Arabidopsis thaliana: one gene and its partner. The protein of the gene in region 1 interacts with the protein of each later gene in a pairwise test. Each region holds a gene or a part of one and is shown on either strand. Other genes may lie near its edges.

Region 1 (8,628 bases):
CTCTTTTTTATTGAATAGACATTTTCGGTCATCACTGAAAGGGTAACTTTATAGAAATGTTTTGTCTTAGATCTAGATGACATTGTTGGGGAAAAAAACAAAATGTACCTCTATGTTTTTCTTTGTTGAGGGAAGTGGGCATTTATGTATGTTTCAATAATGTCCAAATATGGTAACAAAATACACGTGTCCGTATATGCAAAATAAACACAATGGTTTTGCGATATCTGTTTTTTGTCGAGTCCTCCTTATGTATGTATCTCCTCAAGTACGTACTTTTGTTACAACTTACAAATCTCTTTTACTTCGTCCGTAATCTATGTACATACATATATGTATCTAACGGGCCATGGTCTAATTTATATGATATTAAAGGTAAGAGAAGAAAAAATGGACATTTATTTTGTAAAATTGTCTAAGTATGTAAAGGCAAAAGGGAGACATTGTAGGGCAACGTTATAATCCCTACCAAAATTTGTTTTGTATACATTCTTTCACAGTTTTAATTGCATCTCTCTCTTGTCCTTGTTGGCTCTGTCCTCATTGTTTATTTGCCCTTGCCTCCTACATGCCACATGATTTTGCTTTCACAAGAACAAAGAATCTAGGTGTCCTAATGAATCAAAACATGAAATTTGATTGGTTTTAGTTTTTCTACATATATATGATGTTGGTATATACAAATCATTGATAAATTTTCTAGATATATGATTAGTTAGAAAGTTCAGTTTCATTGGACTTTAGTCTATTCGAAACATTGTATCCTCCATCTTTAATTGGAAGGCGTAGAGAAACTAGAACTCGAATCCGTGTACATGCTTTGCCACAAACTAGTATACAATTTTTTCCCCTATATAAACATACGTGTCTACGTGTGTTTTCATTGTTTATCCCAATGCAAAATCACTCCATGTGTTTCTAATGGTTAGTCGTTGATTTGGTGTACAAGACTATATACATATTATCTAATGAATAATTTTGTCAACGTCATAATTAATCAACCTAATTATGATAAGAAATTACAAAGTAACCAAATTGTAAGAGTTAGTGTTGTTAATTTATCATTCATTAAATTAATAGTTAATTAAATCACTTGCCCTAAACGGAATGGTATTATGTAATTTTAATTTTACCGTTTGATCTTTGTTTGTCAGCATAATTTGATGTTTTGTCCTTATATATATACATGCAAATTTAAATGTTATAACATTCATAAAATAGTGACATATATATATATATATATATTATACATGCAAATTTAAATGTTATAACATTCATAAAATATTGCCACTATTTGGTCAACGTCATAAGTAGCCAAACCTATTTAATTATAATCAACGAACTATACTACCCAATTTGATGAAGAAAAAAAAACTATAGCCCCCAATTTTAAAAGTATAGTGATATACTGCATTAATGATTATTTCTCTATTAATTTATTAGCCTTCCAAACTGTCCATATAAATACTTCTCCATTGTACCTCTTACCTCCATATAACATTCTTCAAGCAAAAACTAATTCCACAAAAGAAAAAAAAAGAACAATGGCAATAAAGAGATCGAGCAAAGCGACGTCGTCTCAAGCAGCATCTATCAAGCAAATAGTAAAGAGATGCTCGAGTCTAAGAAAGATGAAGAACGTAAATGGTTGTTACTATAACCAAGAAGATGATCTTCCTCAAGACGTGCCAAAAGGTCATTTTCCGGTTTACGTGGGACCGAACCGAAGTCGGTACATCGTTCCTATCTCATGGCTCCATCACTCCGAGTTCCAAACATTGCTCCGACTAGCTGAGGAAGAATTTGGGTTTGACCATGATATGGGTCTAACCATTCCTTGTGATGAAGTCTTCTTCAGGTCTCTTATCTCCATGTTTAGATAAAGCCCGATATCGGAGACAGATTATTATTCTTGAAGAAAAGATTTCTTTATTGGAAAGAAAATTTGAAGCCGAGATCAGTAAATCCAAAAACAAGAAACAAACTCATTTTTTAGGGTTGTCTGATTAAGATGCAAGAACATGGCTAAAAAGCTTCGTAGGCATTAACCCGTTTGTGGTTTTTTTCTTTGCTAAATTTATTAGTCATTTTCTCTTTTAAATATTTTGTTGTAGTTGGGGTGGGGTGGGAGACTTTTTCCCTCAAGTCAACGTAAAATGTTGATCGATGATCTTGAGAGGATTAGCTAGTTAACTTCTAAAACTTTATTGGTTAAGATCAATCAAGAATCCTCAATAGTTTTGGTGGTTTGTGCTAACGATGTTTATGTGTTATCATCGTTCGAGTTAAAATCCGCGTAATATATAATGTTGTTTTATAAAAAAAATTAGTACATGAATGGTCCAACAATTCATAACTCACGTTCTTAACCTAATTTGTGACTAAGACTAACTAATCATGTGTAAACAGCTTTCTATTTCTTCGAAAAATTTAGAATTACAAAGACATAGTTTCGTATGACAAAGTATCACGGTGTCCATCATTTGACAAAAGTAATGATAGAAATATTACTTAGCATCTTTATAAAAGTAATACTTTCTCTTTTACTAAGATACAGGTTACGAGATTAATCATAAAACACTCGAGTCATAAAACAATTTGTTTTGTTTTCTTTCAACACAAAAGTTTTGCTATACGTGTATTCAATATTTATTTGTCGGTGTGTCAATCACCGTAATTTGACTCATTTCCTTTTACATGTAGACGTAGCAAGTAGTATTTCAAAAGATTTTATGTGTATATATCAATTATATTGAGTCAGATTTTTGTGATGGATCATTATGGTCCTACCAACCAGAGTCCCTACATATACTTGTATCTGTGCGAATTTATAGTTGTTACCTAAGCTACAAAAAAAATTGAAGAGATCTTCCGTAATATAGATGAACTAATTTGATGTCCCATTATGTTTCTCGTAAAAGAAGAAATACATGTGTATTTGACAAGATGGTACATAGACCGCTAAACCATCATGTCCTAACAAAGTAGATTGGTATCATTTGCAAAATATGTCACTTAACATTAATGTTCTTCATTCCTTAATACCAGTCTACTTGATGAGTCTCTCCTCTTTTTGATGAGCTAGTCTCGCACTTTTTTTCATCTCTAACTTTTGTATTTTATGAAATGTTCATAGACTTTATTCAAGGCACATTACTATCATATATCTGGATTTAAATTGCCATACCGTATTCACGAGACAATTTATATGTAATAACAATTTAAAAAATGCATTGTCTGCTCAGAAGCTAGCTTGCCCATATTGTGTGTTCTTCTAACAATTTTTTATTGTTTCTTCTGAGGGTTTTTGCATTAAATATGTTATTGTTGACATCATAGATGCTAGTGGATATATCATCGACGACGAACTCGAGTTGCTTAATAATTATTTCCAGTTTCATACATCATCATCATATTATAGAACATATACCTTTATCATATGTATCTCAAAAATCTATAATCAGCTTGATATTAACTTATTCTAAAGTTCAAATCAGTTTTAACTTTTAAGAAAATATTATGAGTTTTCTAATTTGATTCGGTTTTCGCCGGGTTAACCTGAAATCGGAATCTGGATTGGACAAAGTACAAACCGTGGGTTAGTATTAGTAACATCCAATTTGGGCTTGCCCGTATTTGTCTGCTCAGAAGCTAGCTTGCCCATATTATGTGTTCTCCAAAGAATTGTTTATTGTTATTTTGGAGAGGGTTTTTGCATTAAATATGTTCTTGTGTTGACATTATTGATTATTAGATGCTAGTGATATACCATCACCAAAATTAGAATTGCATTATCATCATTTTATATATCAATCTATATATTTATCATATGACTCAGACTATCATGAGACGCATTTTTTTTAAGTATTATGAATAATATACCACTTGTTCACGTTTTAACGTTTGAAAAACATGATTTTGCTACTTTTTACGATTCAAAGTATTTATTAAGAATTTACGTTCTTGAAAAGTGATTATACTGTATATATAACTATAAGTAAATAAAACTTTTTTCGACGAAATTTCTGATGATAAATAAAAGGTCGGATATATTTGACTTTTTTTTTTTTTTTAATTATTTTTTGACGATAAATTTTTCGTTGAAAAATCATCGAAATTTTCGACGGATTCCAATGATCAAAAATTCGTCAATAATTTCCAACGATATTCTGACTAAACTAAATCTGATGAAATATTTTTGACGGCTTTCCAACCAAAATATTTCGTTGTGACTTGTCAAAAATCCGTTAGAATACTAAGCAACTTTTCGACAGATTTTCAGCAAAAATATTCGGTAATATAACGTGTTAAAAATATGATAAAAAAAAAAACTTGATGAATCTACTAAAACTAAATTTTCAATCATATATATCTATTATTCATATATTTCATTCATTTTATTATTTTTCTCTTAACAATTATTTAGTTATTCTGGTATCGTGTAATTATATTCATATGATTTATTCTGATATTGATTCGGTTAGCATCCGGATAAATCTGGGTTGGGCTTTTTAACTTGGTTTTTCTAAGAAAAATTCTAATATGATTTGGTTAGCATCCGGATTAGTCTAGTTTGGTAGGCCTGCCTTTGTGATTCTTAACTCGGTCTTTTGTATGGGTTTGAACAATTACTACACCATTTAGATTCTTCTGACCCATATCAAATAAAGATCCACTTAGGCCCATTAGGGTTAGAACAAACATGAGGTTGCAGAATAAAAAGGGTTCATTTTCCTCACTCTCAAGTTGGATCTCAAAACCCTAATATCTGAACTTCGCCGTCGAGAGCATCCATGGGTCGTGTCATCAGAGCTCAACGTAAGGGTGCGGGTTCCGTCTTCAAATCCCACACTCACCACCGCAAAGGTCCGGCTAAGTTCCGTAGCCTCGATTTCGGCGAGAGAAATGGTTACCTCAAGGGCGTCGTGACGGAGATCATCCACGATCCTGGTCGTGGTGCTCCTCTTGCTCGTGTCACTTTCCGTCATCCTTTCCGTTTCAAGAAACAAAAGGAGCTCTTCGTCGCCGCCGAAGGTATGTACACCGGTCAGTTCTTGTACTGCGGTAAGAAAGCTACTCTCGTCGTTGGAAATGTTCTCCCTCTTAGATCTATTCCTGAAGGAGCTGTTGTCTGCAACGTCGAGCATCACGTCGGTGATCGTGGTGTCCTCGCTAGAGCTTCTGGTGATTACGCCATTGTTATCGCTCACAACCCTGACAGCGACACTACTAGGTTTGTTTCTCTTATCCAAAAATCTTCTGAGGCTTATAAACATTTTCAGATCTGTTGATTGTTTGTTGTAGATTATGATGATCTTAATCAGATTAATTAGAAAATGCTTATGTATCATTGGTTATTTAGTGTAGTTTATGATGATGTTAATGGAATCATTTCGTTAATTAGAAATGCTTGTGGTATAGTTGTTGTAGTCTTGTGAATGATGATTTGAGTATATGTTTGCGCAGGATTAAGTTGCCATCGGGTTCGAAGAAGATTGTCCCAAGTGGATGCAGGGCTATGATTGGACAAGTTGCTGGAGGTGGAAGAACTGAGAAGCCGATGCTCAAGGCAGGAAACGCGTACCACAAGTACCGTGTGAAGAGGAACTCATGGCCTAAGGTTCGTGGTGTGGCTATGAATCCAGTGGAGCATCCTCATGGAGGAGGTAACCATCAGCACATTGGTCACGCCAGTACTGTTAGGCGTGATGCACCTCCTGGACAGAAGGTTGGTCTTATTGCTGCAAGGAGGACTGGTCGTCTCAGAGGTCAAGCTGCTGCTTCAGCTGCCAAGGCAGACTAGAGTTAAAAGAGATAAACTTTGTTTCTCTTGTTTTCTATGTTTCAAGTTTTGTTGTCTGTGTTTCCTTTTGAACCTCATTCTGAAATCCTAAAAGATTTTTATGATAAACCTTTCTCTCTTCTCGAAAAGCTTATGTTATTCACATTGCATACTCTCAATACGCAAAGTTTTCATTTTGTACATATGAAAATTATGTAAGAACAACGTAACCAATTCTCGTGATCGTTAAAGTGGTAGTTGAATTGCAGATTTTCATCGAAACAGCAGCCCGCCGCATTGCTATCACAAAGAATCAAGTCTTTGGTGTTAGTCGAATTGAAGCAATCTGAAGTACCTAAAAAAAAATTACAAGGAATCTTAAAAACGAATCTTGCAGCAAACCTTCAAAATGACACAGAGGACTCAAAGACATTTATGTGCGTAATACAAGTCTGATTCTATAGTTGATTAGCTGAGTTTTGGTAATGTGTAATATTTGTGTTTATGTGATTGAGATTTACCTAAATTGTCTTTGTCCATCAATTTTTAGCGTTTGAGACTTTGAGGAATTGGTTTTAGTATCTGATCCAATAGCTAGATTTGTGTTGCTCTTGCTCTATAATTGTCTTCCAGGTTGAATATGGTCCAAGGATAATTGGTTATCGTCGGCTCTTAGATGTATTCTGCTCTAGTCATGATTCTAGACAAGTGTTTGGACAAGGTCCTGATGTGGGTAACCAATACAGGTAAAAGAGCTGTTTGGTTATCTTTGAGTTTGTTTGTTTGGCCCAAATCTATAACATTTGAATATATGTTGAACAGATCCTGTATTTTCACTAACTGTACAGAAGAGTTGAGACTGGCTTCTACCAGCAAAGAAAGGGAGCAACTTAATACAAGAAGCAGTATCGTGACTTCTCTCTTGTCGTTGACTCCTCTCTTCACGAGTCTCATCTCCGACGCTTCTTCTCTTTTCTTCTGTTGCTTTGGTTCTCATCTTCATCACACTTATTGCAAGTTTGATCAAAGGCTCAAAATCCAACAAAATTCACCATTTTAGACACCTTGGGAAGCACGTTAGCCGGAAAACCTTGAAAAACCCACAAGGGTTTTCAATGCGCCTCCTTTGGATAATTGGATCATACATACACCATTATTGGATAATACTCTCTTGAGTCATGAAGATTAACAGAAAACAACATATCATCAATAACACAAGACGGCTCTTGCCTCAGATCACTCAACTTATCTATTTCTCTCCTTGACTTCAAATTAGTTTCCCTGGGTTGGTAAGCATAAGAACAGAACCGTGCTTATCCCTCATGTCAAATTTTCTCTTCCATCACCACATATGTCACAAACTCTCAGTCGCAGAGGTGCGTAGGTTCGGACAGAAGGTCTTATTGCTGCTAGGAGGAGAGGTCAAGCTGCTGCTTCAGCCGCCACTAGGGTTGTTAAACAATAAATAAATTAAAAAAAAACATTTGCTTCTCTTTTATATGTATATATATCCGTTTGGACCTTGTTCTCAAATTGTAAACATTTTTATGATAATCTTTGTCTTCTCTCTCGAAAAGTTTAAAGTATTATTGCAAATTGTAAAAAGTTATCATCGCAAGTTTTGATTATTGTTCTCGACCGAATAATTTTAATATTTAAACGAACCGTATCAAACCGAGTATTTGGTTATATGTTTAAAACGTCTTTAAGTATCAACTAAGTAGAAATATGGTCACCAATTGCTAACTGGTAAAAGCGGTTGAGACTCAGCATGATGAGAGAGTCTCACCACGGTTCGAGTCGCGATATTGGTACCTCGCTCCTACCAAAAGGAATCATGCCTTAATTGTTAGCCGAAATAAAGTAATCTAAATCACTTCTTTTTCAATAATCATGCAGCGAACCCTCTAAATGAATCAGAGGGTCTCAACTCTCAAAGACAGAGTTTAATGGAGGTGGAGCCATGGCGTGACTTTTTGAGCGACTCGACTCAATCGACTACAGGTTGTTCGTTCATATGGAGTTTCGTTCCCTGGTTCGAAACAGCAGCTAGACGAAAACTGTGTAATGGCTATATCACTGAAGAGGAACCGTTTCTTCATTCCTTATACGAATCTCGTCTTCTTCTTCTTCTTGTGTGTCTCTCTGCTCGATAAAACTGTATCCATCAGGATTTCGAATCAGATCTCGGATACTGTCGTTGATTCTCCCGATCGTCCTTTGAAATCTGCGGTTTTCGCTCTTGGAAGCTTCTGGAGATCGGAGGCGGCGTTTGGTTGTATCAATGGCGTCGTACGAACCTCCGCCGGTTACGCCGGTGGAACGAAGACGAATCCGGAGTATAGGAACTTAGGTGATCACGCCGAGTCCGTACAGGTTGGTTTTATTGTTTCAATTTTGAGGATTGAGCCAATGTTTACTTCGTTTATTCGATGTTTAGCTGATATGATTTGATTTGATCAGTGCCTATGTTGTTCGATTTGATTTGCTCTACTTAACAGATTTCGTTTGGATAATAAAATTGGAGAATGCTTTATGTGAATATCATCATTCATTAGCTGATTAGGTTGTTTTGTTGAAATTTGGTTATGTGTGATCTTAGTGTATATGTGATTGTCTGATTGAAGTTAAACTAAATTGTCTTTGTTCATCTGACTTAGTGTTTGAGGAGCTTAAAGATTTGTGTTGCTCTTGCTCTGTAATTGTCTTCAGGTTGAATATGATCCAAGGATAATTGGTTATCGTCAGCTCTTAGATGTATTTTGGTCTAGTCATGATTCTAGACAAGTGTTTGGACAAGGTCCTGATGTGGGTAATCAATACAGGTAAAAGAGCAAGTAAATAGC
Region 2 (9,902 bases), on another chromosome or scaffold:
GGCAAGAGACTCATGGAGTTAAAAGACACTGGACTGGAGTGGGCAAAACGAGCTAGAAAGGTACATAACCAACACACGTTTTCTCAGTTGATCGCGTAAAGTCTCTATGGAATGTTTAATGAAAACGAGAGCTATTGGTTTTATCTGCAGGTGGTAACAGACTCAGGTGCTCTTGCCTTGGAAGATGTTTTCGAGCTTATTTCTGAGGGTGAAAACTTACCTGTTCATGCAGAGCAGGAACTTCAGGTTAATATGAAATGAATGTTAGCAAAGCTTAACACATAACCTTACTGTTATCTAAAACTGTTTGTATCATGGTAAATTGATGCAGTCTTTACGAGCTCGGAGTATGTTACACTGCATTTGTCTAAAGCCATACAACTCAAGATCCATGGTTTCTTGTAGTCAATGTGGCGAATGGTATCACACCTATTGTTTAAAGCTTCATTGGCGGCCTAAGGCTTATGTCTGCTCCGCTTGCTGTCCACTGGCAGAAACCACTCCACAGATCGATCCCGCCAGGTTTGTTCCTTTGCAATAAAAGCTTACTCTAAACCACATTGCTACACACTTGTATTCACATCGATCTTAGATTTTTAAAAGCATACTTTCTTGAAACCTCTATACTTTTGCTTCACTCATTAGTTTAGGTCACAATCAAAAGCTACTGATTGTGTGGTTTCTGTTAGGCTTAGTGGCTTGAACCGAGAATGTTTACAGATTCGTTAAGATACTCTACACTTCCTCCCATTTTTCTGAACCCATTTGTTTGATTGATATCTATTAACAGAGCAACAGAGCCAGAGAGACCGTCTCTGAACCAAAGACGGACAAGAATGGTCGCGACTGATGCAGCAGTTAATGACTTAAAGTGGAAAACCCGAAAACACATCAAACGGACAACTAAACGGAGTCCTCAGGTTCATATTCTTCCCTGGTTTTTCACTTAAAAACCAACATAATAATCTCTTGAGGGTATGATATATAGAGCAATTTCATTTATTCAATTTTAGATGAGTTTTCTCAAACCTTTTTGTAATGTTTCCCATTGGAAAATGGACAAGTTCACATTAAAAAGGTTTTGGACTTAATAATTTGCCAGATTTTTGGATCTTTTTTTTTTTTGAACTGGATCAGTGGATCTATAACTAGAATTTGATGATTATGTAATATAAGAAATTCTAATCACAACTATGTATAGAGGAGATATTAGCTTAGATCTTAGATTTAAAGCTTGTTTCATTCTTTGATGTTTTATTCAAGTTTAACACATTTACCATTGAAATTTGTATTCTTATTCAATTATAGATTTATAGTATGTATTTGTTGATATCTCTCACTTTTTAAACTCAACAAACTCTACCAAAATCAAACTACCAGCAGCTATTAGAATTTTGAACTATTGTTGGACCACCAATGTGTGAAGAGAATCATATCTCTTAATCCCCACAAATTCATGAGAAGGAAAATAAAAAAGCAACAGTTGAGATCACTTTCCTTACAAGAATCAGAAAGAGACCCACTTTTGATGACATCATGTTTCAGAGACCCACAATCATATCTCTCTATATATGTATGTATCATAATGTGTGTATATGTGTTGTGAAGTAATAAGTAAGGGACTTTCATAGAAACAGAGCCTTATTGTACCTTTTGAGACACCATCCTCAAGCTGAAAGCTTCCTTCAACACTCTTCTTCCATTTTTGAAAATCTATCTAGTACATTTATTGTGAATTTCACACTGTCCATATCTTGTTTATTTATTAAAGTTATTAATGTTACATGTAGATGAAATGGACTGATTTGTGTATGTTTATAGCTATTTATGTAAGAAGAACAAGTAAAATATTGTATAAGTTCAGTAATGGTCGGCCTCAAATTTTTCCTATCATGAAATTTCTAAGTAAAAAAAGACAAGTCACATTACTTTAGGTAAAAAGTTGGCAAAACAAAAAGTGAAAGAAGGAAAGTCAAAACTCTTTATTTTATTGTCAAAAGTCAAATGTGTGCAAATGTAATATTGTTGACATTAAACAAAACAAATTAATGTAAAGATTATTCATAATGGAGTAGCAAAACAAATCTAATTAAACCCAAAATATATAATATATGATATATCTCTAGAAAACTTTTATTTATATCTAGCACCAAATTTTGACTATTTGGATTTTTTGGTCGGGTACTTTAGCCACCGGATATTAAATGCATCATACAAACTTTCAAATTAGGTGGAAACAAAATATATGTACGTATATATATATATATATATATTAATAAATCACTTTCAAAACTTTTAAAAGAAAATAAAAAAAAAGAATTTTAGATAAAAAGTAAAAGAGAAAAAGGGGAATATAAAAATGGAAAACAAATAAAGTTAGGAGAGAGGGCTCACTGTCCGAAGCAAAGAAAGAAATAGCAAAGTGAGTTAGACATGTGAGAGAGAAGAGATTCAAGTGTGTCCCCATTCTCTTTCCTATCCTTTAGTCAACAACACATCTCTCTCATATTTGGATATTTCTAATCAAGATCAAACTTTTTACAACAAGATTTGATTTTTTTTGTTCTTTTAAAATCTTAATTTGAATTAAGATGATATGAAGTCATTTCATACTAGTCTTGCCTCTTGTCAAAGTGTAACTGAATGAAATTTCAAGATTATATATTTATAAGAAAACCTAAAATTTTTAGATATATTTTGAAATAATCTTATAATTATCTATACTAATTAAAAATAAATTATAAATATATTATAGAGCAGTTGACCAAAAAAAATTACAGATAACTATTGAAGATATATAGACATGATTAGTTGAGGTGTAGAAAGTTTGTAAAGCCACTAAAATAGCTCCAAAATTGAAATAATCATGTTGTAGTTTTTTCTTTTTTCTAGCAAGAATAATATATTTTTGATTATTTTAAAAGGTTTGTACATTTTTCTCTTTTTATTTTCACTTTATTTTTTTAGTTTCTTTAGAAACATTATTATACTTTTCATATATATATATTGAATTTATCTTCAAATTTTGCATACATATTTTACCCACTAAACATGATTCCATATAAAAACGGAAAAAGTGTGTCACAGAAGAAATAATATATTACATGATATAATAATCTAAAATGTCAACTGTTTTCTTTAGAATATGTTAGAAAAGATTTTTTTTTTAAATCTTTATTGGTAGCAATGTTTATGAGAATAAAGCACATAATTGTCTCTCAATGACTAATAAATTTCGGTTTCAGTCAAAGATCTAACGAGATATTAGATTTGTAATAATCATCAAAGAAAGTCTATCCTTTTTATTAAAAACAAATATTCTTAAACAAACTAATACTTTAAATAAACTATTCTTAAACAAACTAATACATTAAATATTCTTAAACAAACTAATACATTAAATATTCTTAAACAAATATTCTTAAACAAACTATGCTTAAATCTTTCATAATAATCTTTCTCTCAATTGAATTTATCTTTCACAAAATTAAATAACAAATCAATTAAAGAGATATATAAATACGAAAAACAATGGTCGTCACTCTCGTTCAGCTTCTTTAGTTTTCTTCTAACTTTCAGAGAAAGACCTCTCTCAATTCAAAAGTTCACAATATTAAAAGTATAAATCAGAATCATTAAACTGTTAGTCTCTCTCTCTCTCTCTCTCTCTCTCTCTCTCTCTCTCTCTCTCTCTCTCTCTCTCTCTCTCTCTCTCTCTTTTTCTCTTCTTCTCCCTGAATTGTCTCATCTGTCTTCTTCCTTTGTCTCTCCTCTGATATACATTGTGTTCTCCTTCTCAGAAACCCTAGATTTCTCTCAATCAAATCTAGCTTTTCTCTTAGGGGGAGATTTGATTTTTTTCTCTGCAAGACTGTAACAGTAGGAGAAGCTACTTTCCTCTGTTTTCTTAATTTCAAATCTGCAATCGTACTTTTTCGAGTTCTATAAGTGAACTCAGATTTTAGCTTTTTTTTTTTAGGGTTCATAAGAACAAATTGGATTTTGAGCTCACAGTATAAATAACCCGACTTTGATTACTGGGTAATTTTAAAACCGCCATTGTTGTTCTCTTTACTACTTTTGGGAATTAGGGTTTATGATTTCTGGGTATTAGATTAGATAAATTTGTTTCCTTTTTTTGTTAATCAATTTAAAAATCTCTTATTTCTGTTAAAGACTTGTAATTTTGGAGTTTTTAATGCATGGACGGAAGAGAAGCAATGGCATTTCCAGGCTCGCATTCTCAGTACTATCTTCAAAGAGGAGCCTTTACTAATCTCGCACCTTCCCAAGTCGCGAGTGGGCTTCACGCGCCGCCGCCACATACGGGATTGAGGCCAATGTCTAACCCTAACATTCATCACCCTCAGGCTAACAATCCAGGACCTCCTTTCTCGGATTTTGGACACACCATTCACATGGGAGTGGTCTCCTCTGCTTCTGATGCTGATGTGCAACCGCCACCGCCACCGCCACCACCAGAGGAACCGATGGTTAAGAGGAAACGTGGACGGCCAAGAAAGTATGGAGAACCGATGGTTAGTAATAAGTCTAGGGACTCTTCTCCAATGTCTGATCCTAATGAACCTAAACGGGCCAGAGGTCGACCTCCTGGAACTGGAAGGAAGCAACGCTTGGCTAATCTTGGTGAGATCTCGAGTTTTCTATTCTGTGTACTTTGTCAAGTTAAGTTTTTGCTTTAGCTCTGTTAGCTAGTCTTGAAGGACATGAGCTTGAATCTTATGGATGCTAGAAGCTTTGAATGATTCTATAGTTAAGTTAGGTTTTGTTACTTTGTCGTTACTGATACTCAATATTGATTGTTGGCTATTAGTTTGACGGATCTATGTGTGGTACAATGCTAGGTGAGAGGAGTAATTGGTTATTAGTAGATGTGGACGAAATCGACTTCTTGATTTAAGTTATTGATTTAGGTTTTTAAGCTGTGAAAGAGTAATCTTACTAATCCATTCATGTTTAAGTAATTGGTCATCATAATGTGATTAATCAAACTTTAAGTAATAGCAAACTCTTGACTCTGATAATTTCTTTAGGTGAGTGGATGAATACTTCAGCTGGACTTGCTTTTGCACCTCATGTGATCAGCATTGGAGCAGGAGAAGTAAACTGACCAAAACTCCTTTATATATTAATGATCATTTATGCAGCTTTTCATTGTATCAATTTCCTTTTATTTTTCTTTGCAGGACATTGCTGCGAAAGTTTTGTCATTTTCACAACAAAGACCTCGGGCTCTTTGTATAATGTCAGGCACTGGAACCATTTCTTCAGTCACTCTGTGCAAACCCGGTTCAACCGATCGTCACTTAACATACGAGGTTTCAAAGTCGTTCATTCAGTTAATCGAAAAAGAAAAACCTGAAAAGATTTCTTATTTAATCCTCTTTCTGTGTTTCTTAGGGACCTTTTGAGATTATAAGTTTTGGTGGATCTTATTTGGTGAATGAAGAAGGTGGATCCAGAAGTCGAACAGGCGGATTGAGTGTCTCTCTTTCTCGTCCCGATGGTAGTATTATTGCCGGTGGAGTTGACATGCTTATCGCAGCCAACCTTGTTCAGGTATATTAAATTCTTCTTCTTAATGGTTGTAAAGTGAAGCTAAAACGAGGCGAAACTAACTACGAATGTTAGCCTTTGATATGTTTGTGCTGTCACTTTCTTTCCTCTTCAAGATATCATGTGGTAGTGTTTGAAAAACTTGTTTGTTATTCAGGTGGTGGCATGTAGTTTTGTATACGGAGCAAGGGCAAAGACTCATAATAACAATAACAAGACCATCAGACAAGAAAAGGAACCAAATGAAGAGGACAACAATAGTGAAATGGAGACCACACCGGGTAGTGCAGCTGAACCAGCAGCATCTGCGGGTCAGCAGACGCCACAGAACTTCTCTTCTCAGGGAATAAGGGGGTGGCCCGGTTCAGGCTCAGGCTCTGGCAGATCACTTGACATTTGCAGAAACCCACTCACTGATTTTGATTTGACTCGTGGATGATATACACTATTAGTCTTTGAAGCAGCAGCATACAAAATGTGATTGCTGTACATATGTTATTGTAGATTTCTCTCTGGGAATGTTGAAATCAGACATTTAAGGATTGATACTAGATCTCTCAGCTCCTTCTAACATTGTTAATGTAACAGAACCCTCCCACTTTCATGCTATTTTAGGAGATTTTTTTAACTCTTTTATGATCTCATTGTGGTCATCAAGAACTTGGTTTCTTTACTAGTTCACTATTTTTCTTTCAGGTTCTTTAACATATTTAGTAAACTTGATTCCTCTTATTTGGTAGACAATGTGTAATTCAACACACACAAGATTTAGGATCCTTAATTTATAGGAAGATGACAAGCTCATAATTTATACATGAAAAGCATTAAATATTAATGAATATATATCCTCAAATTGACTTAAATTTCTTTTTCAGTCAGAAATCTAATGAGACATTAGATTTTGTTATAAACCATTGAAGAAAGTCTATATCCTTTTTAATAAAAAAAATTCTTAAACAACCCAATTTATTTTTTTTGTAAACCAATTGAATATTTTTTTTTGACAAAATTAATTAAAGAAATAGTATATAAATAGAAACAATGGTCTTCACTTCCTTTCTCTTCTTTTTTTTTCTTTCCTTTTTTTTTTCTGAGATTTGCTTTCTCTACCAGAGAGACTGTAACAGTAGTAGTAGCTACTTTTGCTTGTTGTCTTCATTTCAAATCTGCAATTTTACTTTCTTTTTGAGTTCTAAGTGAACTCAACATTTAGCTTCTTTTTCTTTTCTAGGTTTCATAAAAACAGTTTGGATCTTAAGCTCACAGCTGAAAATAACCCGACTTTGATTACTGGGTATATAAAAGCCGCCATTGTTGTTCTTTTCACTCTTTGGGTTATTAGGGTTTACGATTTCTGGGTGGTAGATAAATTTGTTCTTCAAAAAAGTTTCCTTTTTTAAAAAATCTCTTAGATTCTTAAAGAATTGTAATTTAGGGTTTTAAATGCATGGATGGGAGAGAAGCTATGGCATTTCCAGGCTCGCATTCTCAGTTCTATCTTCAGAGAGGAGTTTTTACCAATCTTACACCTTCCCAGGTCGCGAGTGGTCTTCACGCGCCGCCGCCACCTCCGGGAATGAGGCCAATGTCAAACCCTAACATTCACCACCCTCAGGCTAGCAATCCAGGACCTCCTTTCTCCATGGCTGAGCACAGGCATTCTGATTTCGGACACAGCATTCACATGGGGATGGCTTCTCCTGCTGCGGTGCAGCCTACTCTGCAGCTGCCGCCTCCACCGTCGGAGCAACCGATGGTTAAGAAGAAACGTGGAAGGCCAAGAAAGTATGTTCCTGATGGACAAGTTTCATTGGGGCTTTCTCCAATGCCTTGTGTTAGTAAAAAGTCTAAGGACTCTTCTTCAATGTCTGATCCTAATGCACCTAAAAGAGCCAGAGGTCGACCTCCCGGAACTGGAAGGAAGCAACGCTTGGCTAATCTTGGTGAGATCTCAAGTTTTTTCTGTGTACTTGATTAAGTTAAGTTGTTGTTTTAGCTCTGTTGGCTAACCCTTGAAGGATCTTATGATTAGATGAAAGTTTGAATGGTAGAAGCTATGTATGATTCTATGGTTATTTTAGGTTTTTGTTGCTTTAGCCTTACTGTTACTGTTACTCAACATTGATTGTTAGGTATTAAATTGACTGATCCATGTGTGGGTACAATGCCAGTTGAGATGAGTAATTGGTCATTAGAATGTGGTAGTCAACTCGATATTTGACTTCTTGATTTATGGACACAATTTGTAAGCTTTGGCACAACTTTCTTCTATGTACATTGTGAAGAACACGAGCTGGGGTCTTATGATTAGGTAGATTTTGGTTGCTAGAAGCTTAATGATTTTATGGTCAAATTAGTATTGATTTGGCTCTGTTGTTACTGCTACTCAACATCGGTTGTTAGGTATTAACTATGAGAGTAATTTGACTGATCCATTTGTGTTGAGATAAGTAAATGGTCATTTAACTCTGTTAATTACCTTAGGTGAGTGGATGAATACATCAGCTGGACTTGCTTTTGCACCTCATGTGATCAGTGTTGGATCAGGAGAAGTAATCTCTAAAAACTCCTATCAATCTTAATGAGTTATGCAGCTTTTCATTGTTTCAATTTCCTTTTATTTTTCTTGCAGGATATTGTTTCGAAAGTTTTGTCTTTTTCACAAAAAAGACCTCGGGCTCTTTGTATAATGTCAGGCACTGGAACGGTTTCTTCAGTCACTCTGCGTGAACCCGCTTCAACAACGCCTTCCTTAACATTTGAGGTTTCAAAATCGTTCATTCAGTTAATCCAAAAAAGAACCAAACCGTGGAGAACTAAAGATTCTTTATCCCTTCTTTGTGTTCTTTAGGGACGTTTTGAGATTCTAAGTTTAGGTGGATCTTATCTGGTGAATGAAGAAGGTGGATCCAAAAGTCGAACAGGCGGTTTGAGTGTCTCTCTTTCTGGTCCTGAAGGTCATGTTATCGGCGGTGGAATTGGAATGCTTATCGCAGCCAGCCTCGTTCAGGTATTTCAAAATTGGTTTGGCTCCATTAAGTTTTGTTTTGGTTGTAATTGTTTGGTATAACATTTGTGCTACCTGGAATACAAAAGTTCAAAATACGGTTCTGGTACGGTTTGAGAAATTTTGTTTGGATTTGTTTATATGTAATGTGACTCTTAAACTAAATTTTTTTGTTGGTTGTTATTTTGAAGGTGGTGGCTTGTAGTTTCGTGTACGGAGCAAGTGCAAAGTCTAATAATAACAATAACAAGACCATCAAACAAGAAATAAAACCTAAGCAAGAGCCGACCAATAGCGAAATGGAGACCACACCTGGTAGTGCACCAGAAGCTGCAGCATCGACGGGTCAGCATACGCCACAGAACTTCCCAGCTCAGGGAATGAGCGGATGGCCCGTTTCAGGCTCAGGCTCAGGCAGATCACTTGACTCTAGCAGAAACCCACTCACTGATATTGACTTGACTCGCGGGTGATTCAAAACAAAAACATTATTAGTCTTTCTTCCTATTTACTCCGACTACTACCCTTTAGTCTTGGAAGCAGCAGCAGCAGCATACATTATGTGAGTGCTGTACATATCTTTGTTGTTGTAGATTTCTCTCTGGGAATGTTAAAACCAGACATTTCAGGATTGAGACCAGAACTCTCAGTTCCTTATTGTAACATTCTCAATGTAACAGAACCACCCCACTTTCAGGCTACTCAACGAGATTGTAACTCTTTTATATCACTCATTAAAGCTTCCTTTGGTTTCTTCAATATCTGTGTTCAATTCGGTTTTGGTTTTGAGTGTTTGGTTTTAGAAATGAAGTAATCTATCCAAGTTGATCAGCCTGAGATAATAATGCTGGTTTATCTAAATAACCGATTTGGCTCTCAAACAGAACTAATCAATCCAAGTCAATGTCATGGCTCTTTATTGAATGAGAGAGGTTCATAATCAAATACAATACGATTCAGCAACAAAGCTTCATCATTCAGGAGATATTCAGAAGATTCTTTATGTCATGCTGCAGAAAAATTGAGACAAGAAAGTTAGCAGAGATAGTGTCTGAGAGAGAGTGAATGAGAGATAGTTGCTTTACCTCAAGTGTAAGAGGGGAAGTAGTTGGATAATAACGTTGTACAGCTTGACCGTTTTTGTCAACAAGAAACTTAGCAAAGTTCCATTGAATGTCATCGCCGAAGATTCCCCATTTGCCTTTCTTCAGGAACTTATACAGAGGAGAAGCATTCTCTCCGTTTACTTCAATCTAATACAAAATTGGACATATACGAATGTTTTAAGAACTTCAGGACAATCATAGAGAATTGTAGT

What was found.
Region 2: the proteins of EMB2296 (region 1) and AT1G63480 interact in a two-hybrid assay, tested with the Arabidopsis thaliana proteins (one large-scale study listed by BioGRID).

Annotation. Positions count from the first base shown.
Region 1 is NC_003071.7:7,832,358-7,840,985, forward strand, and holds EMB2296 (Ribosomal protein L2 family), read left to right. Parts: upstream 1-4,709; 5' UTR 4,710-4,793; coding exon 4,794-5,233; intron 5,234-5,466; coding exon 5,467-5,803; 3' UTR 5,804-6,119; downstream 6,120-8,628. Other genes in the region: AT2G18010 (SAUR-like auxin-responsive protein family), read left to right, coding at 1,545-1,883; AT2G18025 (uncharacterized protein), read left to right, coding at 6,459-6,528, 6,605-6,639; MSRA5 (Peptide methionine sulfoxide reductase family protein), read left to right, coding at 7,850-8,158, 8,495-8,607.
Region 2 is NC_003070.9:23,535,986-23,545,887, reverse strand, and holds AT1G63480 (AT hook motif DNA-binding family protein), read left to right. Parts: upstream 1-3,654; 5' UTR 3,655-4,202; coding exon 4,203-4,647; intron 4,648-5,054; coding exon 5,055-5,122; intron 5,123-5,207; coding exon 5,208-5,339; intron 5,340-5,421; coding exon 5,422-5,580; intron 5,581-5,734; coding exon 5,735-6,016; 3' UTR 6,017-6,331; downstream 6,332-9,902. Other genes in the region: AT1G63490 (transcription factor jumonji (jmjC) domain-containing protein), read left to right, coding at 1-60, 151-246, 332-522, 791-950; AT1G63470 (AT hook motif DNA-binding family protein), read left to right, coding at 7,025-7,520, 8,062-8,129, 8,210-8,341, 8,429-8,587, 8,776-9,057; GPX8 (glutathione peroxidase 8), read right to left, coding at 9,562-9,594, 9,670-9,837. UniProt on the Arabidopsis thaliana protein: Transcription factor that specifically binds AT-rich DNA sequences related to the nuclear matrix attachment regions (MARs).